Saccharomyces cerevisiae S288C: one gene and its partners. Changing the gene in region 3 together with the main gene of any one other region gives a genetic interaction. Each region holds a gene or a part of one and is shown on either strand. Other genes may lie near its edges.

Evidence for each region.
Region 1: mutations in BNA5 (region 3) and ALT2 are lethal when combined (synthetic lethality), as found in Saccharomyces cerevisiae (one study listed by BioGRID).
Region 2: mutations in BNA5 (region 3) and TNA1 together harm fitness more than expected from each alone (negative genetic interaction), as found in Saccharomyces cerevisiae (2 studies listed by BioGRID).

What each region holds. Positions count from the first base shown.
Region 1 is NC_001136.10:677,639-681,711, forward strand, and holds ALT2 (alanine transaminase ALT2), read right to left. Parts: upstream 2,127-4,073; coding exon 603-2,126; downstream 1-602. Other genes in the region: replication fork barrier binding protein FOB1, read left to right, coding at 1-164; PDS1 (securin), read right to left, coding at 2,858-3,979. UniProt on the Saccharomyces cerevisiae protein: Inactive alanine aminotransferase. Forms a catalytically active Schiff base with PLP, but lacks alanine transaminase activity, probably due to an altered structural conformation of the dimeric enzyme.
Region 2 is NC_001139.9:1,010,636-1,014,662, forward strand, and holds TNA1 (Tna1p), read left to right. Parts: upstream 1-1,849; coding exon 1,850-3,454; downstream 3,455-4,027. Other genes in the region: ssDNA endodeoxyribonuclease RAD2, read right to left, coding at 1-131; APL6 (AP-3 complex subunit beta), read right to left, coding at 3,686-4,027. UniProt on the Saccharomyces cerevisiae protein: Involved in the uptake of nicotinic acid.
Region 3 is NC_001144.5:605,258-609,040, forward strand, and holds BNA5 (kynureninase), read right to left. Parts: upstream 1,863-3,783; coding exon 501-1,862; downstream 1-500. Other genes in the region: EST1 (Est1p), read right to left, coding at 2,168-3,783. UniProt on the Saccharomyces cerevisiae protein: Catalyzes the cleavage of L-kynurenine (L-Kyn) and L-3-hydroxykynurenine (L-3OHKyn) into anthranilic acid (AA) and 3-hydroxyanthranilic acid (3-OHAA), respectively.

The DNA of each region.
Region 1 (4,073 bases), on a different chromosome or scaffold from region 3:
AAGAAAGTGACGGTGCATCACAAGTAGATCAAAGTGTCGAAATAACTAGACCAGAAACTTCCTACTATCAAACTCTGGAATCGCCGTCAACAAAACGACAGAAATTAGACCAACAGGGTAATGGAGATCAAACAAGAGACTTTGGCACATCAATGGAATTGTAATAATATGTAGGATAGAATGAAAGGAGGAGTCACCATAGGTGAAAAAAAAAAGCACCTATTGCATATAAAGTATTCAAAAAGGTGTTGAAAGCTCTTCCTGTATATGACCCTGTATTTAATGTACGCGGTTAAAAAATTTTTATATTTTTAAATAAGTATCAACTTGGATAATATGATCTTGCCCGCAAGGTGGTTTTATATGAATAATTACTTTTTTTTTTTTTTTTTTTTTTTTTTTTTTTTTTTAATTGAACAATAGATGCAGAGGAATGCTCCAAAATTTATTTCCTTGAACAATATTACAAGAGGCAGATATATACTTTTCCTTATTTCCCTTAGTAAAGAATGATGCATGTATACTATTACAAATTTAAACTTCACCCCCACCATGGATGCAAAACAAATAGAAAGCCATTATCATTAGTTTTTTTTTTTCATTCAATTACGATACTTGCTGAAGAAATCTTGATGAAATTCTTTCCAGTCTTGAATCCATTTAGTCCCTGGAGCCAAAAACGTTGTTCGCACATGATAAGTCCCGGGTCTTTGTCCGAACCCAGACCCTGGGACAGTACAAATACCTGTAGATTCTAGCAAAGATGTGCAATAGAACTCATCAGGTTCGATGCCAAGGCGTTCGCTTTCACAAAGAGCTTTCTTAGGTAAAACAAGCCTAGGGAAAAGATACATTGCACCCTGAGGTTTTTGGCATTCGATACCCTCTAGTTCCTTAAACGTCTCGTACAATAAGTTTGCTCTCGTACGCATTTCATGAAAAATTTTCAGCCTTTCGTCATGATCTTGTTCATAGGACTCGTCTCCAGGCTGGGGTGGTTTGACCATTAAATCAACCACAGCTTGTCCTGTGACAACAGAACATATGGATATAGACATGAGTTTGAAAAGAGCATCTCTTATTTCTTGAGAAAACCCAATAATTTCCATGTAACCGCCTCTTTGGCCGCACTCATCCATGAATCCTTTAGAAATGGAGTGTAAAGAGGCGAGCTGAACGTTATCGAATTTTCCTGGATAAAGATGCTGCAATTTTCTTAGGACTTTCTTCATCGAATGAAATTTAACATCGTTGAAAATGTTTTCTTGATAGACCTCATCAGAAATGATTGTAATGCCGTATTTCGCAGCGATCAAACAGATCCTGGCAATGGTTTCTTCAGAAAGAACTGCACCGGTTGGGTTACCTGGATTAATAACTATCAGCACAGATGGTCTGATCTGTTTTTTCAAAGCATCTTGCACTACTTTTTCAATTTCGTCGCTGTTTGTAGACCAATTTGACTCCTCATCTAAGTAGTATGGCAGCACTTGTGCATTGAAAAGAGATGCGGATGCAGTATAAAGCGGATACTGCGGAATTGGAATCAGCAGGCCTGTTTGAGAATCTTTACACAATAAAGATAACAAAGAAGTTGCCGCGGACGAAGCGCCAGTGGTTAAATAAATATCTTCCGGTGTAGCGGGCTCACCGCCGTCTCTTCTAGTAATGAAGTCAGCAACTGTTTGCCTTATTCCTGGCACACCTTGAGAATGCGAATATGCCCCTATAGAACCGCCAATATCATTCAAGAGGCGCTCAGCTCTTTCCAAGGCGTCCCTGGAAAACAAGTTCAAAGAAGCCAGTTCATTATGGCCTACTCGTAAAATTTCCGGGTACTCCAGGATGGCCAGTACTTGCCTGGTAAAGGTCAAAGGCTTCTGATCCAGTTGCTGCGGATTACCAATGTTCGCATTGATAATATCATCGAAAGGCAAAACTTCTGGGTTTTTTTTCAATTCCTCTTTTAGCTCGTCAGCTCTGGTTGGAATAGCTCCTCTTACAGCATATTCTGCCTTAGTGACACCTGTATTCAAATCTTTTTTAGTAATCTTGCCAGCGGGCTTAAAATCCAAATCCTTTGCGGTGAACACACCTTTCAAATCCTGTTGGTGTGTCATTGTCATGTGTTCTTACTTCTTCTGTGTTTACCACTTACAAAAACAACACTACTGTGGCGCTCCTTCCCTTTATTCTTATCTTTTATGCCTCTAGAGATATGAGGAAATATTGGGGTATTTACTGAATGAGAAAAGGATGATGTCAGTCAAGAAAGGATCAAAAAGAAAAGTGAACAGAATATAGTTCCCACACGAAGTAGTAAATTTAGCTATCCTAAAAGTGTATTGGTAATTTGAAGAGATATGTAGATGTACATATGGGACCATAAGAGTAGGAAAAATAAAATAAAATCGCCAAACAAGTAGGAGAAGCCTCAAGATACAAGCCGTTTCCATGGAGAAAATATTGCGAATGAGGCCAAACTTGAACTTTTTTTTTTTCTGCTAAAAAATTCAGAAAAAAAATGAAATTATTTTCTTAGGTATAATGAAGTAATTATGACGAAGTACTTTGAGAACCCATAAAGAGAAGCAATTGAAGACGTGTGGAGGACATCAGCCCGCAGCACATTAGTAGAAACAATAGTATCGTGATGTGATCCCTCTTGGACCCTTTGCCAATCAAGGGTGAAGCGAAGCCATTTAAAACGTACGAACAATGGCGGTAGTTGAGGTATGGGTGAGGCCGCAGATTAAATCCCGGCGGCAGGAGCAACCGCTTTTAACCAGAATTGTATGTTATAAAGTATCTGTATATACGTGTATATATGTTGTGTGTATGTGAATGAGCAGTGGATCTAAGTAACTAAGTCCTCTAGTTCTTCAGGATCGAGGCCTTCTTCGCTGTACACTAACTCCATGGTTGGGACGGCGGCAACTTCTTTGAAGTTCTTAGACAGCAGTGGTAACGCTGCACCTTCTTCTTGATTCCGAGTGATGCACTCAGTCTCATCTTTTTCGCCTTCTTCATCAATTTGTTCTAGTGGGAGTAAATCAACTTTATCTGGGGTGTCATCTTCGTCTTCCAAGTCAAGCTTATATGGTGAGTTGAACGTCTTCAGCTTTTCAATATCATCTTGTTGAAATGGGGAATAGCCTTCTGGTACATACGGTAACGGCTCCTGCCTCTGTGGTGCTATTTCGATATCATAGTCATCAGTTTTATCACTTTTATCGTTTTTAGTTTTTTGCTCATTCTTCGTGGAGTTCTTTATGAGTTGTTGCAGACCACCTTGCTCATTAAATAGTCCTAGGCCACCATTTAATTCATTTTCACCGTCGGAGGAATCCTGTTTTAAAAGTGCACTTTGGAGTTTTTTGCCAAGTTTACTCTCGGAATCTTCATTACCTTCATCATCGTCGGAACTCTCTTCATTTTTACCTGAATCTGCAAGATCTTTTAAAACTAGACTTTTCATTTTAGGTAAAGCATTATAACCAAGGACAGAACCGTACTTTTGTAACTTTCTTGAATTGCTTAACAAATCATTATGGTTGGCCCTACTACGACTGCGAGAAATTTGCGAAAGTTTCCTGAGTTGGTCGTTTTTGCGTATAGATAGTGTATTCTGTAGTTGTGGTAAGTCTGCATCTTTACTCTGATTAGAAGTTTCGGGAAAAATAAAGCTTTTCGATCTATTGTTGTCTTTTGCTGCCAGAGGCAATCTTCCTTGTTGTTGCGCATGGGTATGCAACCTTTTTGTGGGTGACACCTCCTTCCCTCCTTGTATGTACTTTAATGTGTTGCCATTGTTGCTGTTCGCATCCCTTTTGAGTTGGTCCAATCTTACAGGTGGTTTTAAAATATTAGAGTGCGACCTTTTCAGCAAGTGAGCCGGCGTCTGTGGAAAGTTAATGCCGGAACTTTCATTCCCTGTATATACGATATTATTCTCTTTATCTTCGTTAGCTGGCATCATAAAGGTTTATTATCTAGCACTTAATCTAGCTTGGTACCGCAGAAGTGTAATAGTATGTGAATGGGAAAAACCGCTAGCAACCGTTACTTGCCTT
Region 2 (4,027 bases), on a different chromosome or scaffold from region 3:
TCACGGACAGCTTTCAAAAACTGATATATCCAAATGGAGGCATCTACTGCCATTCTCTTATCTTCCAAGGATTCCAGCCTGACCGGTCTTGCCGTAGGACCTGCAATATCCCAAAATGAATGCACACCCATGTCTGAAGTTTGGCGTTCTCCCGAAAATGCTTTTCTTCATGGATGACGTGTAGAACCTTCAATGATTTACGTACAGTTTTTCAATCCCTTTAAGGTCTCTATATGTGGCGGCATCTTTTCTTTTTCTTTTCTTTTTTTTTTTTTCACTCTCCCTTTTAATGCCTCCACGGAGGTTCGAATGGGTTATACTAGAAAGAAAAAAAAATAGTGATAATTAACAATGAAAAAAAAAAAACAGCAACAAAATGTGGTATTGGGGTCACACCACTCATTGACTCACATCCTCTGGAAACATCAAAAAGCTACCAAAAAAGAAAAAAAAAAAAATTCAAGTGCGAAGTTTCCGCATATGCAAACCTTACTTATTGTATAATATTGGTAACAGCAGCTACTAAGCTCCCTGACTCTGATTTCTCTCTCTGTCTCTTTTGAGGAGTACCTTCTGCGCTACTGTGTTCCAATGGTATCTGCGCCTTGAAAATCAATCACAAACGCTCTTGCTATGGCCTGCCTTGGACACGATACGTCGCTGCTTATGCCGCCAGGTGTCAGTAAATGCTCTGACGCACCCATTCACCCCGCGCACTAATTTGCAAAATTTGGGGGCAGTTTGGGAATACTCCATAGAAAAAATCGACTTCAAATCAATTCCGCACAACGTCGCCGTGTTGGCTAAAGTGAACGGAAAATGGACGACATGGTAAAAGAACAGATATGTACATATACAGAAGCCGCGATTTCACATGCCGGCCATTATGGCACACAACCAGGTCTTGTACTGTCACTATGTGCGTTCCGGAACGCCTGTACAGTCCATGGTGAACCATTTATTTATTTATTATTATTATTTTGTACATTATTATTTATGCTATATGTTATTATTATTATCACTATTTAATATTATTATTCGGGTCCAGGTGAAATAACAAAGTCTGGCGCCAGTCACTTGTCTGGGTGCCCGTATTCTCTGTTACAGCGGTATCCCTCTGGATTCTGCAATCGTCGCCGGCTTCTACTAATTTTTCCTTTCCTTTTTGTTTTTTTTTTTTTTTAGTTTTTTATTTTCTAGTTTCCTGCTCGTATTCTGTTGGTTTTTCCAGTGTCTCTCTCCTTTTACAAGTCACCCATTCTCTGCGAAGAAGCGGTCGCACCAACAAAATAGAAAATACCACCGGACGCCGGATCGCTTATTACTCGCAATCATAGTTACCAATCACAGCCGGGCATACTCGGGATCTACCGTAGAATCCTATGCGTCACACATGAGGACAGGTTACGAACCGTCGAAGGCTTCGCGGCGTGTGTGATTAGTATTGTTTTGACCTCATCCATACACCCTGAAATATCTGTCGCATCTCCGATTACGTTAAAAATTCTGGATAATATATAAACCATGAGTTTTCCTTTCTTTGAAGTATGTTCCTACTCGAGATCCTTTTGTTATTTTATTGCCATTTTTTTTTTGTTTCATATGTACTTCTTATCTACTATTTATATTTCTCTATATTAACTAACTCTCCAAGCTATAAGCATACGTCCATATTTACTGTCTTAGAAGTCGTATTCACATCACAGTTTTCCCCCTCTTCGCCTTTTTCAAACTATTTTCCCCCGTGAGACAGCGACTGAAAAAAAAACGACTGCGCAGAAGGCTTATATAAAAAAAAAAAGAAATATTTCTTCACTTTCGAGCATTGAACTATTGTCATTACCTCTAGATGAGCAACAAATTTACAATGGAGTCACCTAAGCATTTGGTGGATGATGTGCTTTTCATATCACCCACCAATGATGGATCAGAAGAAAAGCCTACGGAAGTCACGTTCCAGGAAGATGAAGGCCATGACGCTAGCTTGCATAATCGCAGCCATGACAAGAAGTCGGAACTTGCCACCGAACGGGAAATTATGGCTACTACCACGGATGATGACGGCATCCCCTCCCCTTCCCATCCAATGGAAAAGCGTGTCTTGCGCAAAATGGATATATACTTGATTCCTCTTATGGGGATGCTATATTTCCTTTCTAACCTGGATAAATCGAATATTGGTAACGCAGAAGTTGCAGGTCTATCCAAGGATATCCACCTTGTAGGAACGCAATATAACACATGTGTCACAGTTTTTTTCGCGACGTATGTTCTTTTCGACCCCATAGGTACTAACCTTCTGAAAATTATGGGTCCGCCATTAATGATGAGTATCTGTTTGACCTGTTTCGGTGCTATTTCGCTCGGAACTGCTTGGGTTAAGAATTATGCTCAATTGATCGTTGTCAGACTACTACTGGGTGCCTTTGAAGGTATGATTTATCCCGCTATTAACATGTACCTTTCAGTCTGCTATAGAAGAGAACAATATGCTCTGAGGTTCGCTTTTGTCTTCAGTGCAGCCTGTTTGTCTTCATCTTTTGGTGGGCTGATTGCTTATGGTTGTTCCAAAATCAGCGGTTCTCTAAAGGACTGGCAATACATTTACATTGTCGAAGGTTGTATCTCTTTGGGGTTCGTACCATTCTATGCCTTCGGGTTGAGCAAAAATTTGGAGGATTCGTGGTTTTTCAATAAGGAGGAAAAAGAGTACATTTCCGAAAGATACAAGACTATGAACACTTTTGACCCGGACGAAAAATTTGAATGGTTCCAAGTGTGGCAAGCAGTTAAGGATGTCAAGACTTGGGCTAGTGCTGTGGCATTATTCGGTATCGATTTGACTACTTTTGGTCTAACAGTCTTCTTGCCGATCATCATTACCAGTATGGGGTTCACTAATGTCAGAGCTCAATTAATGACCGTGCCCATCTATTTCCTTACAGCAATTGTGTTCTTCATTTGTGCCGTTTGGTCTGATCGTATAAAGTTGAGATCTCCATTCATCCTGGGTGCTTGTCTGACGACTTCGATAGGCATAGCTATCGTCCTTGGTTCTCAAGTTCATGGTGTGAGATATTTTGGCGTTTACATTCTTTGTATGGGTATTTACGTTAATGCTGCCTGTAACTGTTTATGGTTAAGTGGTAACACTGGTAATTACTTCAAGAGAGCCACCGCTTTAGGAATTAATCTATTTTTCGGGTCTGGTTCAGGGTTGGTCTCTGGTCAAATTTTTGTTGCCAAAGACAAGCCAAGATATATCAAAGGGCTGTCGATTAGTCTGGCCTTTCAAGTCTTCTCCATATTTATGACGGTTGTGCAAATTTTCCTATACAAGAGGGAAAACGATAAAAAGAAAGCAATAATAGATCGCTGTAATGAATTGGGAGAGCCTATTCCATACGACGAAAGGTTAAGCGACAAAAACCCTGAGTTTAAGTACATGTATTAGGCTTGACTTTCTTCACCCTCCACTTTTTTTGCCCCTCGTTATGAGTGTGTTTGCAATTTGTAACTTTTCTTTTATATTTGTATGTATTTTTGTACTAAGCAAATTCACATGAAACTTTGTTTACCAACTTCTCTTTTGTTTTCGTCCCAAACACGTATATTACTGGGAAGATATACATGCCTATATCTATATCTATAAATATACATATTTATATAGTATTATCTCCGAGTTCTAAAGCTCCAGATGCGAAGAAGACGTTCCCGAAGAAGACGTTCCCAAAGAAGAGTCACTATACTCATCATCGTCACTGCTCTCTTCCGATTCGTCTTCATCCTCGTCACTGCTTTCTTCCACCACCTTTATAATTTTCCTTGGTTTACTCTTCCTTTCTGGAATGTCGGAAAAAAACTCGTCCAGGCTTTGCAAACGATATTTCTTCCCGTTTTGAGATGTGAAGGTGTTTACGTTACCTTTACCTGAGATGCTATTGCTATCGCCGTCATTGATCCCAGTCAATTTTGCGTTGGAGCTAGATGTGAAAGATCTTGCTGAGTTGTTGGTAATAAAAGACTG
Region 3 (3,783 bases):
TGATAGAAATAATGCAACTTTTTTTAAAAAAAAAAGAGAAAGTGCTCGAGGTGGGGATTGAACCCACGACGGTCGCGTTGCTTTTAAAGGCCTGTTTGAAAGGTCTTTGGCACAGAAACTTCGGAAACCGAATGTTGCTATAAGCACGAAGCTCTAACCACTGAGCTACACGAGCATTTTCGAAAGAGACGTAAATTAAATTGTTATTTATACCGTAGATGATTGTTTTTCACGAAATTACCCTTTTGAGTTCCGGCTTGTTTCGTTCAACAGTACTACCACTGATAAGTTAGCTTCATTATTGGAAGAAGGTTGATAAATGAAAGAAGATTCACGACTATGCACGGCAACTGGTAAGTAATACACGGGCCCAGATATTTATTTTAATTCTTGGAAAGAAAGTATAAATTTATAGGTTCGCTATCAGTAAGTATACGAATTTCAAACTACGTCATATATAATATCCAAAAGAAGATGAAGGCGATGCGGTCACTCTAGGACTACAACTTATCCATCGCCTCATTTAGTGCATTCACCGCAATGTATACATCTGAAAATGTATTATATAAGGGAGCAGGAGCCAATCTAATTACGTTTGGTCTTCTTGCATCGCCAATGACACCATGGTCATGCAAATATTGGAAAACTTTGGGCATAATATCCTCTTTTCCAGTGTCAGAATCGAAGTAAAGTGACAATTGGGCGCCATGTTCTTCATCTGTGCTTGTTGGAGTTAATATTGTAAAAAAACATGGTAATTTCTCGATCCTTAAAGGGTGTTTGTAATACTTGGAGGCTTCCAACAGTTCCGTCATATAGTTCGTCAGCAACAACGATCTTTTACGAACTTCATTAATACCATTAAACTTCGCAAATAATTCCAATGAACTTCTCAATGCCACTGTGTCAATAACGCTTGGATTAGATTGCCTGAATCCCAATGCTCCTGGAATCGGCTCGAATACTTCCAGCATTTGAAATCGCTTAGCAGGATCATTGCCCCACCAACCAGCTAATCTTGGCAAACTTTCCTTAGCAGGGTCTGGTTTAGTATGCTTCGAGTGGACAAATAAGCCACCAATTCCACCAGGCCCGGCATTCAAGTACTTGTAAGAACACCAACAGGCAAAGTCAACACCCCAATCATGAAGTTGCAATGGGACGTTCCCTACAGCGTGTGCTAAATCCCATCCAACCAATATGTCGGGGAATTGGTGGGCAAATGAGGTGATTCGGCCAATATCGAAATATTGCCCCGTGTAATACTGAACACCTGACAAACAGACCAGCGCCAATTCATCTTGATTTACCTCTATGGTATCCAGGATATCTTGAGTTCTGATATAAGTCTCTCCCTCGCGTGGCTCGATCTGAATAAAAACATTCTCAGGTTCCGAAATTCCATGAATTTTGCACTGGTTGTAGAAAGCATAATAGTCTGATGGAAAGGAGCCCTTTTCAAAAAGGATCTTGAATCTTTTCTCAGTAGGTTTATAAAACGTAATTAACAATGAATTCAAATTTGCAGTGAGACTATTCATTACTGCAACTTCATTTTCTTGAGCACCCACGATGGGGGCTAGTAGTGGAAGAATAGGTAAGTCAATGCTGACCCAAGGCACCTTTCCTCTGGCTTCTTCAGGATGTTTGAAATGCGATTCCACAGCACAATCGCTCCACGCATCTAGCTCAGCATTAATTGAATTCCTAGTTGACTTCGGCATCAAACCTAAAGAATTCCCGCATAAGTACGTCACAGGCTTATCGTCGGACGATAGTCCCATGGATTTAAATGTAGGGATGTTGAATTCATCCCTCAGAGATTCCGGATATTCTCCGTCTAATTCCAAAGCTTTCTCCATAATTACCAGTTTGTTTCTTTTTTCCACAGAATATTTAGGCTTAATATGTACGTATTGACAGCATATATATTTGCTGTCTTGAATTTATTATGCTAATAAATAATTATGTTTTTCAAGCGCAGTCACCTATTTCCAAAGCGATGGGTTTGTCCGTGCCGTAGACGGCATCCCGTCGTTTTAATAACCGTTATAAAAACCGCCCCCATATTTTCGTGGGTTGACGACGACAGGCGTGGACGACGTTAATTGACGTCGTCATAATATATTTCATATTATGATTTTTTCCCTCACCATTACTTGTTCTCTCAAGTAGGAGTATCTGGCACTTGGACGGTGATGTCCTCATCAGCATCAATTGCTTCGTCTGGATATGAGAGAAAATCAGAGGATAGTGGGCCAGTGATAGTTTTTCTCCCTCGTGAAGCAGCATGTTTTACCAACTCAGAAGAAACGCCATCTTTTTCTGGGAGCGGAGACAATTTTTTTGTTCTCCGGACATTTGCAAATTGTTTTTCCAGTTCTGTCACAGCTATTTTCCCGGCTCTTTTGCGCTGTTGTTCATCTCTTTTGGCCTCAACTTTTCTCGAAGAGACTACTCTTTCCTGTTGTGTTTTTACATTTATTTTGGAGGAAATTTCCGATAATGCTATTTGGCGTTTTATTTTAATATTTGGGCTTATTAAATCAAACTTATATTTGCTGGCATTCCATATGACGCCGGTGTCATTTTTCTCTAAAAATTTCATGCCAGAAAATATTATTGATCTAATTCGCAGAACACATTCTTCTTTTGGAGAAAGCACTTTAGTCAATGTAGGGCATCCAATTATATTATTAATCATGTCGGGAGAATCATACACATAATCGTCATTAAAATCTGTTAGTGCAAAGTTAATGCAAGAAAATTCCCTGAAAATAATATCTTCTCTAAAAAGATAGCTTCTTTTCGGCCTGTGGCTATATATATTTCCTGAACAATTCAGTGGACTATTTATCAAGTCGTTCAGCAACAAGGCGAATGAAGTGCAAAACTTCCTGTGTCTGTGAGTGTACTGCAAAATAGATCTATATGACTTAATCCAGCACATAAGCAAACGAATAATGGCTAGATATCGAAAGTCTTCCATGTTTTTTTGCCAGGAGGGTTTGATGACGACGTCTATGATATTAGCAATAAAATCAAAGCTCAAGTCTAAAAAAAAAACCTGGCGCTCACTCAAATCTGCATATTTGAGTTTGTTCTTTTGTTCCTTACTTTTTCGAGTTGTAAACATAAGATCGAAACTTCCCATTGTGGCAGCCAAGTTTTCAAGTATAACATTAATATTACCTGAATGATACTTTAATGCAGCCATTTGTAAATGCTCTTTCAATAACCAACAATTAGAAGCACGTGATGCGTTCCATGACTGTGGAACCAAAGTGTGTTCTACTATCGATAGAAATTGCAAAACAATTTGACCTTCAAAGAATGATTTCTCACCTTTGAGATCTTTTGACACAAGAATTGCCAATTTTTTCATCAGACGTCTTCTTTCCGGAAAATCAGGAGTCAAAATGAAATCTTTCAAATTGTTTAACGCACATTTAGACGGAATCCTTACCAATGCTCCTCTTACTAATTCAAAGAAATACAGTGAGAATTTCCCAGTGATCAAGTAAATTTTCGCTCGTTGAAAATAAGTATCTCCAACGGCTGGGAGATAGAGTGAGGCAATATTCAAGTACCTAATAGACTTCTCAAAACCTTCCACACTCTTGGGTTTGTTAGACGGCTTGTTTAGTAGTGTTTTATAAAAATGTGTGGAACCTAGATTAATCACGCATCTTTGTAGTGAGATTACAATGGAAAACGTCAGTGGATTACTCGTGTTTAAGATAATTTTCTCATGAGTTGAAAGTCCATCTGTGTATTGCATTA